Linked DNA regions of Schizosaccharomyces pombe. Changing the gene in region 1 together with any one later gene gives a genetic interaction. Each region holds a gene or a part of one and is shown in the gene's direction. Other genes may lie near its edges.

The links. Genes that interact genetically often act in the same process or in processes that back each other up.
Region 2: mutations in nht1 (region 1) and nrm1 impair growth when combined (synthetic growth defect), as found in Schizosaccharomyces pombe (one study listed by BioGRID).
Region 3: of nht1 (region 1) and arb1, changing one suppresses a phenotype caused by changing the other (phenotypic suppression), as found in Schizosaccharomyces pombe (one study listed by BioGRID).

Annotation. Positions count from the first base shown.
Region 1 is NC_003424.3:1,218,146-1,222,774, reverse strand, and holds nht1 (Ino80 complex HMG box subunit Nht1), read left to right. Parts: upstream 1-1,922; 5' UTR 1,923-1,977; coding exon 1,978-2,020; intron 2,021-2,071; coding exon 2,072-2,280; intron 2,281-2,334; coding exon 2,335-3,108; downstream 3,109-4,629. Other genes in the region: psm3 (mitotic/meiotic cohesin complex ATPase subunit Psm3/Smc3), read left to right, coding at 1-1,566; protein mug94, read left to right, coding at 3,888-4,454.
Region 2 is NC_003423.3:4,283,095-4,289,083, forward strand, and holds nrm1 (protein nrm1), read left to right. Parts: upstream 1-2,849; 5' UTR 2,850-2,947; coding exon 2,948-3,976; 3' UTR 3,977-4,266; coding exon of another isoform or gene 4,267-5,134; 3' UTR 5,135-5,192; coding exon of another isoform or gene 5,193-5,282; 3' UTR 5,283-5,324; coding exon of another isoform or gene 5,325-5,339; 3' UTR 5,340-5,380; downstream 5,381-5,989. Other genes in the region: Hrd1 ubiquitin ligase complex subunit Ufd1, read left to right, coding at 1-419; oga1 (protein stm1), read left to right, coding at 844-861, 1,130-1,503, 1,566-2,028; tad1 (tRNA specific adenosine deaminase), read right to left, coding at 4,267-5,134, 5,193-5,282, 5,325-5,339, 5,381-5,574; nucleoporin Rae1, read left to right, coding at 5,851-5,922, 5,973-5,989. UniProt on the Schizosaccharomyces pombe protein: Negative regulatory component of the MBF complex involved in cell-cycle-dependent transcription.
Region 3 is NC_003424.3:1,897,061-1,902,105, forward strand, and holds arb1 (argonaute inhibitor protein 1), read left to right. Parts: upstream 1-2,905; 5' UTR 2,906-2,991; coding exon 2,992-3,105; exon of another isoform or gene 3,106-3,146; coding exon 3,147-3,229; exon of another isoform or gene 3,230-3,268; coding exon 3,269-3,286; exon of another isoform or gene 3,287-3,325; coding exon 3,326-3,577; exon of another isoform or gene 3,578-3,638; coding exon 3,639-4,371; 3' UTR 4,372-4,545; downstream 4,546-5,045. Other genes in the region: gar2 (nucleolin), read left to right, coding at 463-1,965. UniProt on the Schizosaccharomyces pombe protein: Component of the argonaute siRNA chaperone (ARC) complex which is required for histone H3K9 methylation, heterochromatin assembly and siRNA generation. The ARC complex contains mostly double-stranded siRNA.

The DNA of each region.
Region 1 (4,629 bases):
AAAACATACCAGATCAAATTCTCGGATTTACAAGAAAGTTTGGAGAAATGTCGTTCCGAAATTGAATCTTTTGACCAAAAAATTACTGCATGCTTAGATGATTTGCAAAAGGCTCAACTAAGTTTAAAGCAATTTGAAAGAGATCATATTCCTCTTAAAGATGAACTCGTAACTATTACTGGAGAAACAACAGATCTTCAAGAATCAATGCATCATAAAAGTCGTATGCTTGAGCTTGTTGTTTTGGAACTACATACACTTGAACAACAAGCTAATGACTTGAAATCTGAATTAAGTTCAGAAATGGATGAACTTGATCCCAAAGATGTGGAAGCACTAAAGTCTTTGAGTGGTCAAATTGAAAATCTCTCTCATGAGTTTGATGCCATCATTAAAGAACGAGCACATATAGAAGCAAGAAAGACGGCTCTTGAATATGAATTAAATACAAACTTATATTTAAGAAGGAATCCATTGAAAGCTGAAATTGGTTCTGATAACAGAATAGACGAATCAGAATTGAACAGCGTAAAGAGATCTCTACTTAAGTATGAAAACAAATTGCAAATTATTAAATCTTCATCTTCTGGGTTGGAGGAACAAATGCAAAGAATCAATTCTGAAATAAGCGATAAACGAAATGAATTGGAATCGCTAGAAGAATTGCAGCACGAAGTGGCTACCCGAATTGAACAAGATGCAAAAATTAACGAAAGAAACGCAGCAAAGAGAAGTTTGCTTCTCGCACGGAAAAAAGAATGTAACGAGAAAATTAAATCATTGGGGGTTTTGCCGGAAGAAGCATTTATTAAATATGTTTCAACTAGCTCAAATGCTATTGTGAAGAAACTTCATAAAATCAACGAAGCCCTTAAAGATTATGGAAGCGTTAATAAGAAAGCATATGAGCAATTTAATAATTTTACTAAACAACGCGATTCATTGTTGGCTAGGAGAGAAGAGTTGCGTCGTTCTCAGGAGTCAATTAGTGAGCTTACGACAGTACTTGACCAAAGAAAAGATGAAGCAATTGAGCGTACCTTTAAACAAGTTGCTAAAAGCTTTTCTGAAATATTCGTTAAACTTGTTCCGGCAGGTAGAGGTGAATTGGTTATGAATAGAAGAAGTGAATTGAGTCAAAGCATCGAACAAGACATCTCCATGGACATTGATACGCCATCCCAGAAAAGCTCGATCGACAATTATACAGGTATCAGCATAAGAGTTTCTTTTAACAGTAAGGATGATGAACAACTGAATATTAATCAATTGAGTGGCGGTCAGAAGTCACTTTGTGCTTTAACTTTAATTTTTGCTATCCAACGCTGTGATCCTGCGCCTTTTAATATACTCGATGAATGTGATGCTAATTTAGATGCACAATATCGCTCGGCCATTGCAGCGATGGTCAAAGAGATGTCAAAAACTAGTCAATTTATTTGCACTACTTTTCGGCCTGAGATGGTGAAAGTTGCGGACAATTTTTACGGAGTAATGTTTAATCACAAAGTTTCAACAGTTGAGTCGATTTCTAAGGAGGAGGCTATGGCATTCGTTGAAGGATAAAATGGTTATGGTTTGTTAATTTAAGTTCGCATTTTTCTTTTTAATTTCTTTGCGTGGACAAACCGATCTTTTTGCTATTAGTCATTCTTTCATTAATATCTCTGTTATTTAATTTTATCATACTTAATTTATAATTTTTATATTCATGATGCAATTGCGCTTGAATCAATCAGTGCGTATTACTACCAGAGTTGATACTTTCACATATAGTTTTTTTAAAGTTCTAATCCCAATGGAGAGTCATTTTAATAACTTTTTCCAGATTTCTATTTGTATTCAAAAAATCGAAAGCATGTCGTAGCGTTAAGACTTGTATAAATTCGCTATTTTAGACCTCCAGTCAGTGCTCTTAATTCGCGACAGTACTTACTACATTGTGCGAACAAGATCAAAGGCAGAGCATCTATATCCATGGAAAACCCTCCATACCATGTATCTATTTCCAAATCGGAAGGTGAATATTTTGAAGCTTGATTGATTTTTTCATTTACTAATGAATACTCAGAAATTAAATATCGCCAAAAGTGCAAGGATTTAAAGGCTAGAATTCAGGAGATCCAAAAAGGAAATCAGGAGTTATTAAGCAAATATGAGGTTATTCGAAGAGCTGTCAAGCGTGGCCGATTAGAAAGAGCTATCTTAATGGAACAGTTGGAATTGCAAAGTGAAGCAAAATCTCGCGAATTTGGACAGCGCTCTGAGCCATCTCCTCCTGTAAGTGTTTTTATAGAGTGAATTTATTGTAATACTTGTACTAATCATATGTAGCCTCCTCCCGAAGGTATTAAAATCAAAATATCAACGAAAGGCGCTGGAAACCCGTCTGCCAAGAAGTTAAAGATATCTACAGAAGAAACATCTGATACAAACGTAGCATTAAACAACACGTCGGAAATATCTCATAAATCATCAAATAATTCCCAGCCTAAAGATGCATCCGTCAATGACACAGATGCAGACTTTGAGCAGCAAAATCAAGTTGTTCAATCAAAAGATGAAAAAATTACGAATACTGATCCAATACCTTCTCCTATTATTACAAATCTTAAAACAGAAAGCTCAAAATCATCTGGAGCTAAAAAAGCTACTTCTAATGCCAAAATTACAGACACAATGTTATTCAACCATTTTTCGTCTATTCAAAAACCAAAATTAAAGGCCGAAGGCTCTACCTTGAAGGGACAAGCTTTGAAGAAAACTCTTGAAGATACATGGAATAATTTGACCGAAGAAGAGAAGAAACCTTATCATGAAGGATTGCTTGCAGCGCGTGAGAAGGCCAGAGAAGCAAGACGTCGACGAAGTGCGCAAAATTCAGCAAAACTAGAGAAAGAGAAAGCTAAAGAAAAGCAAAAGGATAAAGATCAAGAACAAGACACTGTTAGTGATAAAAATCAGATAGATGAGATAGAAAAAGGGCAGAAGGAAGTAGATGAAGAACCTGTTTCTGAACCCACCACTTCGCCTATTTTACCTCCAAAAAATCAAGAGCCAATTCGTATGGGAGGATTCACCGTTGTTAATAGATCCTCTAATGCTTAAAAAGAGCTTTCTGATGCAGGCATCAGATCAATGAGGCAATGCTTAAACTTTGTGTCTCAATATTAAAGGTTGGATTAGAAACTAATAGTTTGTCCACAATATATTTTCCTCCTCCTTGCCATTTGCAAAACTTTTTCAAGGTTCCGTTTTCTCTTCACATTATTTACTACCATTTATTCTTTTTTTTTGACTTAAAGTCATAAGATTATCAAAGCAAAAATTTTGAAAGACAATTAAGCGAATGTGTGATTTGAAAGTGGAATTAAGGCAATTACCAGCTGGTTTGTGATTAAACAATGACAACACGAGTTCGATTAATAAGTGTTTAATTTTTTTTTCTTTTTTTTCCAACTTTTTTTTGAAATACTGATTTGGAAAAGAGATTCGTGGTAACGACGAATGATTGTATTTTTTATCAGGGAGAAACTTTTTGCGATTATTTGAATATTTCTCTTCATTCTTTGATAATCTTTAATGATAAACTGTTGTATTTTTTATATATTTCTAACCCCAAGTCCTTTCTTATTTGCTGATTTGGTGTTTATAGAAGCCATCACTGTACGCTTGTTACTATGTTTACATTCACCGGAGTCCAAAATGTAAACACCATGGGTATTGTTTATGTTTACACTCCCTTTTTCTCCAAACATATTAATGATTTTGTGAACAGTTGTGTTTTCGTATTTTAGTGAAATTGCATATTACAAAATATCAAAACAGAAAAAAGAAAAAGCCAATATTAAGCGTGTATATTTTGTGAAACGTGAATAAAAAGAGCAATGGATTTCAACAAAATTGGTGACGAAAATGTCGTTTTCCAAATCTTTAAATTGGAGATGCTAATAATGTCGGAATTTCCTAGCTTTATCGAAGAAAAAGATAAACTTTTATGTCTCAACGTCTTAGCAAATCTTCTAGGAGGAATATTTGAAAACGAGGATAAAATAATTCCCAATTATAAAGAAGCCGTCATAGCGGCTCTCTTTGAACGTTTATTGCTATCTTCAAATCAAAAAAGTACCAGTAAAAGCAACCAAATGATTAAATTGCTAAACAATTCGTTAGCACATAATAACGGTTTGCCATCTCAAAGATGCAACCACGATTCAAAATTGGTGTATATGTCGTTAGTACAAAATAATGGTTTACCTGGTCAAAGAAGCAATTACGTTTGCTGTCCCTTATGCATGGAGCAGCACTGTATCGAACTGCTGACTTATCAGTTATTTGCAAAATGGCGAAATTTCCCAAGGATTGATTTTTCACCTGTTCTGCAAGGCAATCGGGGACCGCGATTCTTCTATACTTGTTTTCTGTGCAACTCAACGTTTTTAGCATCAGCGTGATGATTACGACAAATTTCTGCTAAAAGATGGATACATGAATTGCATCCAAATATAAATGATGATGAAAACTACTTATATATATCTTAATACTATCGTTATCTTTCATAGGTTTCACTCCAAAACATGCCAAATAAAAATGTATGTACTCGTTAAGCCAAAACAAATTACAAACTAC
Region 2 (5,989 bases), on another chromosome or scaffold:
TTGATTTTGATCCCCCCATCGGTTATGAAGAAAGTTTGCAAAAAAACAAGCAGCAAAATATTGCTGGCGTTCAAGGAACGATGGTTACCAAGATTGGTTACGATGAGCTGGTGAGGCAGGGCGATTCGAATTTGATGAAGGGAACAGGGACTAAACTAAATGGTAAAGAAGTTGCTGAAGTGCCTAAAATAAATTTGCTCGATGTTGAGAAACAAGAATGTCCTGCTCCGTTGATCCTACCATTGGGTACATACTTCTTTGGGTATCCTTATAAAGCACCCTCTATTGAAGAAGATTCTAAGAAAGACCCCAATTTATTTAAGTTTGAAGGTGCCGGTACATCTCTACGTGCCTCTCGCAAAACAAATGGAACAATGGGAAAAGGTTCCTCTGATGACCCAATCGATATTGATGCTTAATGTTAATCGTCTCAAGTTATTACTTGGTTGGATTTAGTTTATAACGATTTTAGTACCAGTCTTTTTACATTGAATGAATTAATTTATTATTTGTTTCAAAATATAATGTAATTAATTCTTACTTAGACTGCCTAGCTTTTTTTTACCAGTAGTATATTTCTTAATAAAACTTATTTTAATGCTAAAGAAATGAATGATTCGATAAAACGAATATTGACAATTGTAAGCCAAGTGCTTCCGATATCATAGAAAAAAGACAGGCATTGTGTTGAATAACTGTAATTTTAAGATAGCCTTAGGTATTACCGTAAGATGATGGACAAAGCACATCATTTGTTTCAACCTACCCTAAGTTTGAGTGACTGCTTTTTGGATGACTGTAGTTGTGTAACTGAACACACACAATTAACTTTCCAGCTTCCAAATGTCTGTTGCATCCAAGGTATGATTTAAACATTTTATCATTAAACGATTATTTTAAGGGTTAGGAAATGAACGAACTGGTAATTATTTGTAGCATGTTTTAGGGCTGTGTTTAAGGTTTCATTACTGCGACCCGAATGAAATACTTTATAGAAGTATAGCCTGTATAAAGACGCTCAAGTATTAAAAAATATAAATTCACATTTCGTTCATTATTCTTTAGAGTGTTAGCTCTGCAGACTCTGCTGATTTTTATTTTGTTTTCGCAAGTAGTAACCAAATTATAGAACCTCTTTGACCTCCTCGGAGAGGAGACTCCCGCAGCTACTACTACCGAGAAGAAAACCGCTGCTTCTCGTGACAAAAAGCGCTCCGACAGCCCTCCTGTCCCCCGCGAATTAGTCGCTCAAAGCACCACCTCTAGGAAGCGTGACCCTAACCAACCCACTCCTCGTGAGCGTACCGTTAATAAGAAGGCAGACCAACCTCGCAGACGCCGTCAAGCTCCTCAAGGAAACGAAGCCTTTGCTCGTGAAGGCAAAGAAGCTCGTGCTAACAACGCTGCCCATCCTGTGGATGCCACTGGCGCCCCCTCCAACCGCCGCAATGCTCGTGCTCGCCGTGGTCGTGAATTTGACCGCCATAGCCAAACTGGTAGAGTGTATGTGTTTTATTTTTCTACATGTGAATGCCAAATTATATAATTGCTAACCATTATTTTAGTGATACCAAGAAGGCTACTGAACGTGGCTGGGGTGATCTCGTAAACTCTGCTGCTAACCCTGATGTTGCAGAGAACGAAGGTAACACTCCCTCTGGAGCCCAAACTCCTGCTGCCGAGGAGGAAAATGTTAAGACTCTTGATGAATATCTGTCTGAACGCAAGTCCGCCGCAAAGCCTGTTGGTCGTACTGTTGAGAAACTTGAAAACGCTACTAAGGTCGAGAAGAGTGCCCCCGAAGAATTGTTTGCCTCTCTTAAGAAGAGCGCTTCTCAAAAGAAGTCTGCTGCCAAGGAAAGCAAGCCAAAGAAGGTTCTTCTTGATATCGAGCAAACTTTTACTGCTCGTCCTGCTCGCGGTGGCCGTCCTAACCGTGCTCCCCGTCGTGGTCCTTCAGAAACTGCCTCAAAAACCCAACAGGCACCTCCCACCCTTTCTGAGACTGACTTTCCCGCTCTTGCATAGATGAACTGGTGACTTGAGAGTAGCCTATTGATGTGGAGCGTTTGATTGGTCTTGGATGAAATTTCGTTGTCAAGCGTATGTGGAAAGGTGTGTGTTATCTTACAGATCCCTTTTTGTTTATTTTCCATTGAGCATCATTCGGGTTTCTAGGTTATTCAGTGATTCTTATCATTAAAGCGGTCTAAGGTGTATTCTGTGGTTGCATTCCCTTTTTTGATCCACATTTTGCGATGAATTGACTAAATATTTTTCAAAATGGTCGAATACTAGTGTGTAAAAAAAATTTCATTCTCGTATCTATTCACAACTAATATTAAGAAGATGCGCGTTTAAATCGTCTACCGACTGTTATCTTGATATAACGTATCTTATTTTTAATCTGTAAATATCAGCCTTAGTAATTGTGTACATAACAAAAGCATATTTCAGTGTACGGTAGGTCTGCCTGTGCAATTCACAAATACTCCATTTATTATTCCAATTGATTTTGTCATTTTCAAATGTCGTTTGCAGGGATATTGAAACGGACGTTGAATAAAGCCTTCTTAACCTTGTAAAATGACTATAGGAAAGTTATGAACGAGTTTGTGTATCGGTAACATAACAGGTAAATCACTCTTCATAATGCAAATTGCGGTTTACTTTTTATAGCATCATTTTTGATAGCTATTTAAAAAATTTGAAAGTTAATATAATTAATAAACTCGAGGATATGAGCAAACTGATAAAACGCGCTATATCGCGAATTCGCGCTTTAAAGGGCGTCGCGTCGCGTTGCGTTGGACACCGCTTATATACGTGCCACAAGTACGCAACAATCGACGAGTCGCAAAAAAACTGTCTCTGATTATTACTTTTCCTTCTGATTCTCTGCTACTAGGAATCTTTATATTGGTTTCCGTTTAGAAAAAATAACAAGATGGATAGGTCAATGGAACCATTGACCCCATCTCGTTTAAACACTTTGGGGGAAAGGCCAACAAACGAAGTGTATGAGTATGGAAAAGGAAAAAATGTGCAACATTTATTTCCTATAACACCGATGCAGAGACCATTAGGAAAAGAGAATGCGGCTCCAGGGACGATTTCACCGATTGCGGTTCGATCTCGAAATGTGCGTGCAGTAGAAATTGCAGATGAAAATGCATGTGAAGAGCCAGTCTTAAAAATAAAATCTGTTAGTAGTACGGAGAGTGAAGAGGAAAAAGAATCTTCTACTGAGATAGGAGAGAAACAGGAAAAAGAAACACATTTAGAACCCAAGACACCAGTACAAACCAATACCAACAATAATCACTTAGACGACATTCAGTGTTGTGCTAAAAACTTACGCTTACGTCTTGAATTGGCTATGTATAAAGTACAAGTTAATCAAACATTTTCCCCTCTGCAAGATCTTCCCATTGTCGCTAAAACGAAGCTTCACAATTGTCCAAACTCTGAACCTGTTACCTCCATATGGAACCAGAGATCGCTTTCTTCTGGAAAGCCTCCGTCCTTACATCTTTCAGGGAATCGCAGGCTTTCCATGGGATCTCCCACGAAGTCGATATATGATCAGAATGGTTTGACAACGCCAAGACCGATCGGTTCTGATGATCTAACACATATGTATGATCCTTATACCTCTCCTTTACGCACCCCTTCTCGTACGCTATCACGCTCCTCCTCTCATTATCTGTGGGTTCGTCATGGTAAATTGACACGTAGCGTATCTCTTTTACAACATAAAACGCCTAGACGCATTCGGCCAAAATCACTTTCTAAAAGCAATTCTACACCGTTAAAGCATTTAAGCGCTCAGAAACCAAATTCAAATTACTATACTGGCCCGCCTACTCCAGTATCCATATCCAACACTCCAGAAAACATTCATCCATCATCTTCCGAAGTAAGGCGTATTGCAAGTCACAGCAAGCAATTTTCAGACTATGGTTTAATTCGATGATCCTTCTTTTTACATTTTAAACCGAGTTATGGAATAATGTTATGAGATGATTTTTATAATACTTTAATTACTCTAGTTGTCGTTCATTTCCTTTCTGACAGATTTCTATATGTGAATTATTTTGAAATGCAAAAAATAACTTTTAATTCCTCGCAACACGTTCTTTTATTTCTTACTTGTTATGTAACAAGTCAGTCGTTAATAAAATTATTATCGCTGGTAAAGCCATCCTTCGTTTTATTTAATGCCTTAATTCATACGTACATCTTATATTGAGGTTTCTAGATTTCTTATATCCATTGAAATTCGTTCCCTCCGTTTGGGATCCAGTTTTTTAAGATATTACGAAGAATTTGCTTTTGCTGGCAACGTTTGATGTTGAGTTTCTTCCATTCATAATAGTTTTTTTCATTAGTCAACGATTGACTTAATTGATGCAGCAAATTCATCATACTCTTTCTACATATTAATGTTTGAGACTTTTCAACGTCTTTAGCTTTTGTTCCCGCTTTAATACCATTATGTATCACTTGAGTACACTGCATTTTATCACCGATCCATATCAAAACGTTTGTACTAGTTGCAGTTTTTTCTGCTTGGTTCAACGGCCGTGAATATAAAAAATTTTCATCCGTTTCCAGCACGGTAAAAGGATGAAAGTAATAAGGATTATCCTTTTCTCCAAATTCAGCAAGTGGTGCGCACCGACCAAAGGGTCCAAATGCTCTGTCAATTGCTGATTTAACTATCACTTTTTTATAAAGCACTACACATGATAAATAGATGGGCTCACAAATGAGGCTGGTCTGGGAATTCAAAATAGAAAGATATTGTTTTGCAGCTAATTTATCAGTACAGCTTTTGCTCCAGCTTACTGGGGCATCAGGTCTCCCCGGTTTAGTACGCACGATTCCAAGTAGTCCAAAATCCGCCCTCCCACGCATTAATTTCTCTGAATCAACTGTTAAGTTCCATGGTTTGTTGTTTTCCAAGCGGCTAGCTAGTAGCTCCATACTCGCATCTCCGCAAGGACATTCGGAAACGTACAGATGTATCAGAAGATTGCTGTTTAGAGTAAATTTACCATTATCAGCAACTTCAAGAAGCCACGTATCTTTCTTTGATTCTTTAATTAAAATACAATGTTCGAGAAGTAATCTTAATTCTTTTATTAGTAACGAATACTAACAAATATACAAATAATTGTATATATTACCTGTTAAAACATCTTAATGCCAGAATCTCAGCATGACAATCATGTAATACACTACCCAGTTGTTCATTCTTAATGATGCCAGCTGGCGTACTAAATTGACTTGTTAATGAAAAAAATCAATTGGTAGCATACCATTTTACACCTGTTCTTTAGATGTCAGTTTACCGATATTAATAAAAAAGACGTACGCTAGACAAACACAAATAAATTCGTTCTCCATCTTTTTCTGAATGACAACACCGGCTAAAGTAGTCCATTCACGCACCCCATTTGCTCTTATGATCGGTTTGCCATGACGGGCTAGTTCATCAAATTTGTTAAGGACTGCAAGAGCTATTAAATTCCCAACATTACTGTTTCTATCTAGGGTAAATTCTTCCATTTTCTAATGAATTTCATAAATCCATACTTTATATTCAATTGTATTAAGAAAAGAGTACTTCGGGAGCGTAAATCCTGTGATATGTTGTGACCGTAATTAAATACTAATATTTTGTTTCCAACTGTTAATTAATAACAATTGGGTATTCCTAATAGCAAAGCTTATTCGCTGTAAGTGATTGAAGTACAAATGTTGGCAAAAGCATTTGTGGTAGTGTGTTGAAGCAAGTAATTTTGTCTGCATACGAGTAATTTACCAACTACCACAACTATTAGAATGTCACTTTTTGGACAGGCTACAACATCTACAGTATCTAATGCAACCGGTGACTTAAAAAAGGATGTGGAGGTTTGTTAATTTTACATATACGCTACTTACATTTGCTAATTACACGATAGGTTGCCCAACCCCCGGA
Region 3 (5,045 bases), 680 kb from region 1:
TTATCGTTCATAAGAATTTACATATTCACCACTCCAGATAATACTACGCAAGACTAAACCTAACTCCTTCGTTTCACTGATTCAACAATTTATTAAATTTCAATATGCTTTTTACCTTTAAGACATGTTATAAGCCTTCAGACACACTCATTTTTTAAATATTAATGGCGAATATTTTACTTTGCTGGTTTGTTGTTGAATAGCGCAGATAGCTATTACTTGATAGCGTAATTAGTTAAACTCGCTTTTATAAAAAATAGTAGTAGTTGAACAAGCTTCTATATTAGTAGTTTAACGAATACGTCTAGAAAATTTGCTATACTAGTATACGGCTTCAGGTACATATATCATCGGTAAAAATTTTTTTGGCTATATATAGCAGCTTGTCGCGCCGTACCAGCAGTCAAACTAAAAAACTCCCAAATTCTTTTAAACGGGCTTTTGGTATAGGTTGTGAATATAATGGCAAAAAAGGATAAAACCTCCGTTAAGAAATCAGTGAAGGAGACTGCATCAAAGAAGGGTGCCATTGAGAAACCTTCCAAGTCCAAGAAGATTACTAAGGAGGCTGCTAAAGAGATTGCAAAGCAAAGCTCTAAAACCGATGTCTCCCCTAAAAAATCTAAAAAGGAGGCTAAGCGTGCTTCTAGTCCCGAACCTTCAAAGAAATCAGTAAAAAAGCAAAAGAAATCTAAGAAGAAGGAAGAAAGCTCCTCAGAATCCGAGTCTGAATCTAGCTCATCAGAATCCGAGTCTTCCTCTTCAGAATCCGAATCTAGTTCTTCAGAGTCCGAATCATCTTCATCTGAATCCTCTTCGTCTGAGTCTGAAGAAGAAGTGATTGTGAAAACTGAAGAGAAGAAGGAGAGTTCCAGCGAATCATCTTCCTCCTCTGAGTCTGAAGAGGAAGAAGAGGCTGTTGTAAAAATTGAAGAAAAGAAGGAGAGCTCTAGTGACTCTTCTTCCGAGTCTTCCTCATCTGAATCTGAATCCGAATCTTCCTCATCTGAATCTGAGGAAGAAGAAGAGGTGGTCGAGAAGACTGAAGAGAAGAAAGAAGGCTCCAGCGAGTCTTCTTCTGACTCCGAATCCTCGTCAGATTCCTCCTCAGAATCTGGAGACAGCGACTCTTCCTCTGATTCTGAATCCGAATCCAGCTCTGAAGACGAGAAGAAACGTAAAGCCGAGCCTGCTTCTGAAGAAAGACCTGCTAAGATTACCAAGCCTTCTCAAGATTCTAACGAGACTTGCACTGTTTTCGTCGGTCGTCTTTCTTGGAACGTAGATGATCAGTGGTTAGGGCAGGAATTTGAAGAGTACGGTACAATTGTTGGTGCACGTGTTATTATGGATGGCCAAAGCGGTCGCTCAAAGGGTTACGGCTACGTTGATTTTGAGACCCCTGAGGCTGCTAAGGCTGCTGTTGCCGCTAATGGTACCAAGGAAATTGATGGTCGTATGGTCAACTTAGATCTCTCTAATCCTCGCCCAGCCAACCCTCAACCATATGCTCAACAACGTGCGGGTAATTTTGGAGACCAATTATCTGAACCTAGTGATACCGTATTTGTTGGAAATTTGTCTTTTAACGCAACTGAAGATGATCTCAGTACGGCTTTTGGCGGTTGCGGTGACATTCAATCCATTCGTTTGCCCACAGATCCTCAGTCAGGACGTCTTAAGGGTTTCGGTTATGTTACTTTCTCTGATATTGACTCTGCCAAGAAATGTGTGGAAATGAACGGTCATTTTATTGCTGGTCGCCCATGTCGTTTGGACTTTTCAACTCCTCGTACTGGTGGAGGTAGCCGTGGTGGTCGCGGTGGATTTGGCGGTCGTGGTGGATTCGGTGGCCGTGGTGGATTTGGTGGCGGACGTGGTCGCGGTAGAGGTGGTGCTCGCTCTGGAAACCCCAACCGTGGCTCGGTTGCTCCATTTTCTGGGAACAAAGTCACTTTTGACTAAGTATACTGGCTTTTAACTATATTGAGTTCATTTTTATGGGTTAAATGTAAATACCTTAGCAAATTAATATATGAGTTTGGGTTTTTGGGAAACTTTTTGGCATAAAGGGTTTTAATAAATGTTGGGCTGTGGATTTGATTTAATTGGGTTGAAGTATTCAAATACAAATGACTTGTTTGGGTTTGTTATGGAATGAATTTGGGTTTGGTTTGGTTTTATTGACTTTATAAAGATAATAAATATGGGCCCGTTGGTTTTACAATTTCAAAGCAGTGATGGTTGGCGTTGTTCTACGGTTTAGTTCATGTATTCACCTTTCCTTTATACGTTCCATAGAAGCTTTTGACATAGCTTTAGATAGGTTTTAATATAAAATAGAATCTTATTTAGTTTTGTTCTTGTTCATCTAATCAATCCATGTTACTCACAATCATCGTTGATCACTTTCTAATAGCTAGTAAATGAAGACCGTTTTGTGTTCCTTTTTGGGCTTTTCCATACGGCACTTTAAATTAATGATTTTTTGTTGAACTTTGATTGTGGTCTTACCCGTAATCATAAATGAAGAATGTAGTCGAGCCATTGTCATATTGTCTTATATCTTCAACTTGTAATGTCTCGTCTATTAAATTAGGTAAGCATCAATAGAAGGTATCATTGATTCTACATTACAAATACGCTTCTATTTCAACTTTTAAATTAATACAAGCATGTTTACTTACACTTTGGTTGCGATTATTTTAAGCAAATTAAAAAAAAATATTTTTGTATATCAAATTATAATATAGCTAAATTCAATTGTAACAGTAGTGATGAGTTCTGGCATATTCAAAAAACGGTTGTAGAATAATATATCCAGCGTTACTAAATCCGGCAAAGGAACTGTCTACTTAACTCTATGAACAAAGCTTCTAATACAACACTGTAAATTTGGTTCCTTAGATTCCCCTTACCACACTGATAAACTAGTAAATCAACTATACGACTAGTGTACTGACTTTCCAGTCCAGATGAAGTGATTGAGTGATGGCAGAAGGTGATTTTAAAAATGACAGTACAGGTTGTATTGGCGATAGCGTGGAATTTACTACTTTTAAAAAACGTACAGGAAAAAGTCTCGGTAATAGAAGAAAAAAGAGGGTATTTCTTAAGCTTTAGAAAACCCGTCTAATAAATATTAGGGATTGTCTGGATGGGAGCCTTATTTTCAAGAACCCGAACTGACAGCTGAAGAGAAATTGGAAAATGAGACATTATACAGCAGGTGAGAATACAAAATATTGTGTCTTACTAACACTTCTAGGAACATACCATTGACTGTGTTAGTAAACAGATGTTAAGGACTTTGCTGACAAATTAGGCGAATGGAGCGATTTATTCAAAGATATCGATCACGCAGAAAATGGAGCGACCCTACAAGAATAAGACTGTTTACAATGTATCTAGATTTAGGAGGCGTTTCTACGGGCCAAAAACAGTTTACAGGGGGTACTGATATTAATAACGATGCGAAGGCACGAGAAGTTTCCGCTCAAACCACGACTGATTATATTGAATACGATATACTTGATGAATATGATATTGATTTTAAGTGGGTTGCTGGAGTATTTCTGTGAGTCATTTATGTTTCCATTGAATTTAATTCACGTTGTATTTTAGCTAATCAATTTAAGGTCGTCACACATTTTGTATAACGCTGGACTAACTAAGGAAGAGGATTTGCAAATAGCTTGTCAAATTGTTAGAAATTTTCTGCTAAGTGTTTTGCATAACAATGTTGCACCAGAATTCGAAGATAATATTCGTGACGCATGTTTATTAGCAGAGCAAGCAGAAACTGAATTAATTTCTAATAAGAGGCTATCAACTAAACTTCCCGGTAGATTGCAGCGGGCATTGGCTAGTATACATGTTGACAATTATAAAGGCTTATGGGACAAATCGCAAAGTGATAGGACAAGTGATAGTTCAGTCAATTTCATTGAATCCAATAATACCAAATTCATGCCAAATGATGAACTATTTGAGCCTGATGGAATTAGTAGATTTTCTACACAGCAAGCGCGCGACTACATCCAGAGAACTCTTGGTCCACGATATTTGACTGGGAAAGTCGTTGAACAAGAGTACTTAACAGTCAAGTTAGTTTCTAAAACGCTATTGAATTTTTCAAACCAATCTTTATGCAAAGCAGTGTTTATCGTTTGGGATCCACCCGGATCTAAATATTCTCAAGATACAAATAAGGAAAGACTAGAAGTAATTTTGGAATCTGATTTACTGAACAACACTGTTGATGGCACTCACTTAGAGGGATCGTTCACTTTTTTGGATAATGGACTGACTATATTAGACACTGTGCTTGCTGTGCTACCCACCTTTTATGAAGAAGTTAAAGATGAATAGCATTGTATTTTAATATAGTTACTTTTGTAATATAGCTGGATATGAAATCCTTTAATTAGTTGCTTCTTCTTATTGTGATGAGGATAAAGTTCTAACATATATTAATGACCCGTTGGTGAGTTCGTACTTCCCCCAATTGCATAAACAATAAGTATAAGAAATTATAATTCCCAATCACATAATAGATATTACTTGTGTATGTAATTTAATGTTTTCAAATATTTTTATACAAATACGTCAAACTATGCGACAATATTTTGAAAGCTAGATCGTGCAGAAGTCGCTTCTGAGTCAGTATTGAGCAATAAGAATTATTCGGATGATTTTTTCAATAATCTTAAGTTACTGTCAGGCTCAATGCAATAAACACGATCAAAAGAACATTTAAAGCTATAATGTGTATTCACTTTTAATTGTAAACACAAACGATTAAAAAATTTACGTGTATAAGTATTTTTCCTCTATGAAGGCTAAAACGTTATGTGGAAAAGAATAGTCAATCATCAATAACGTTCATAACTTGTACTATTGAACAAGTCGTGCTGGGTAAAGATAGAAATCAAGTAACTGGATTGGAAGTTGTGATTAGCATAGCGAAACGCAGCGCCTATGGCGAAATAACCCAGGTGAGGAAAAGACACCTTACAACTCCAAAACGACGAAAATAAATTGGT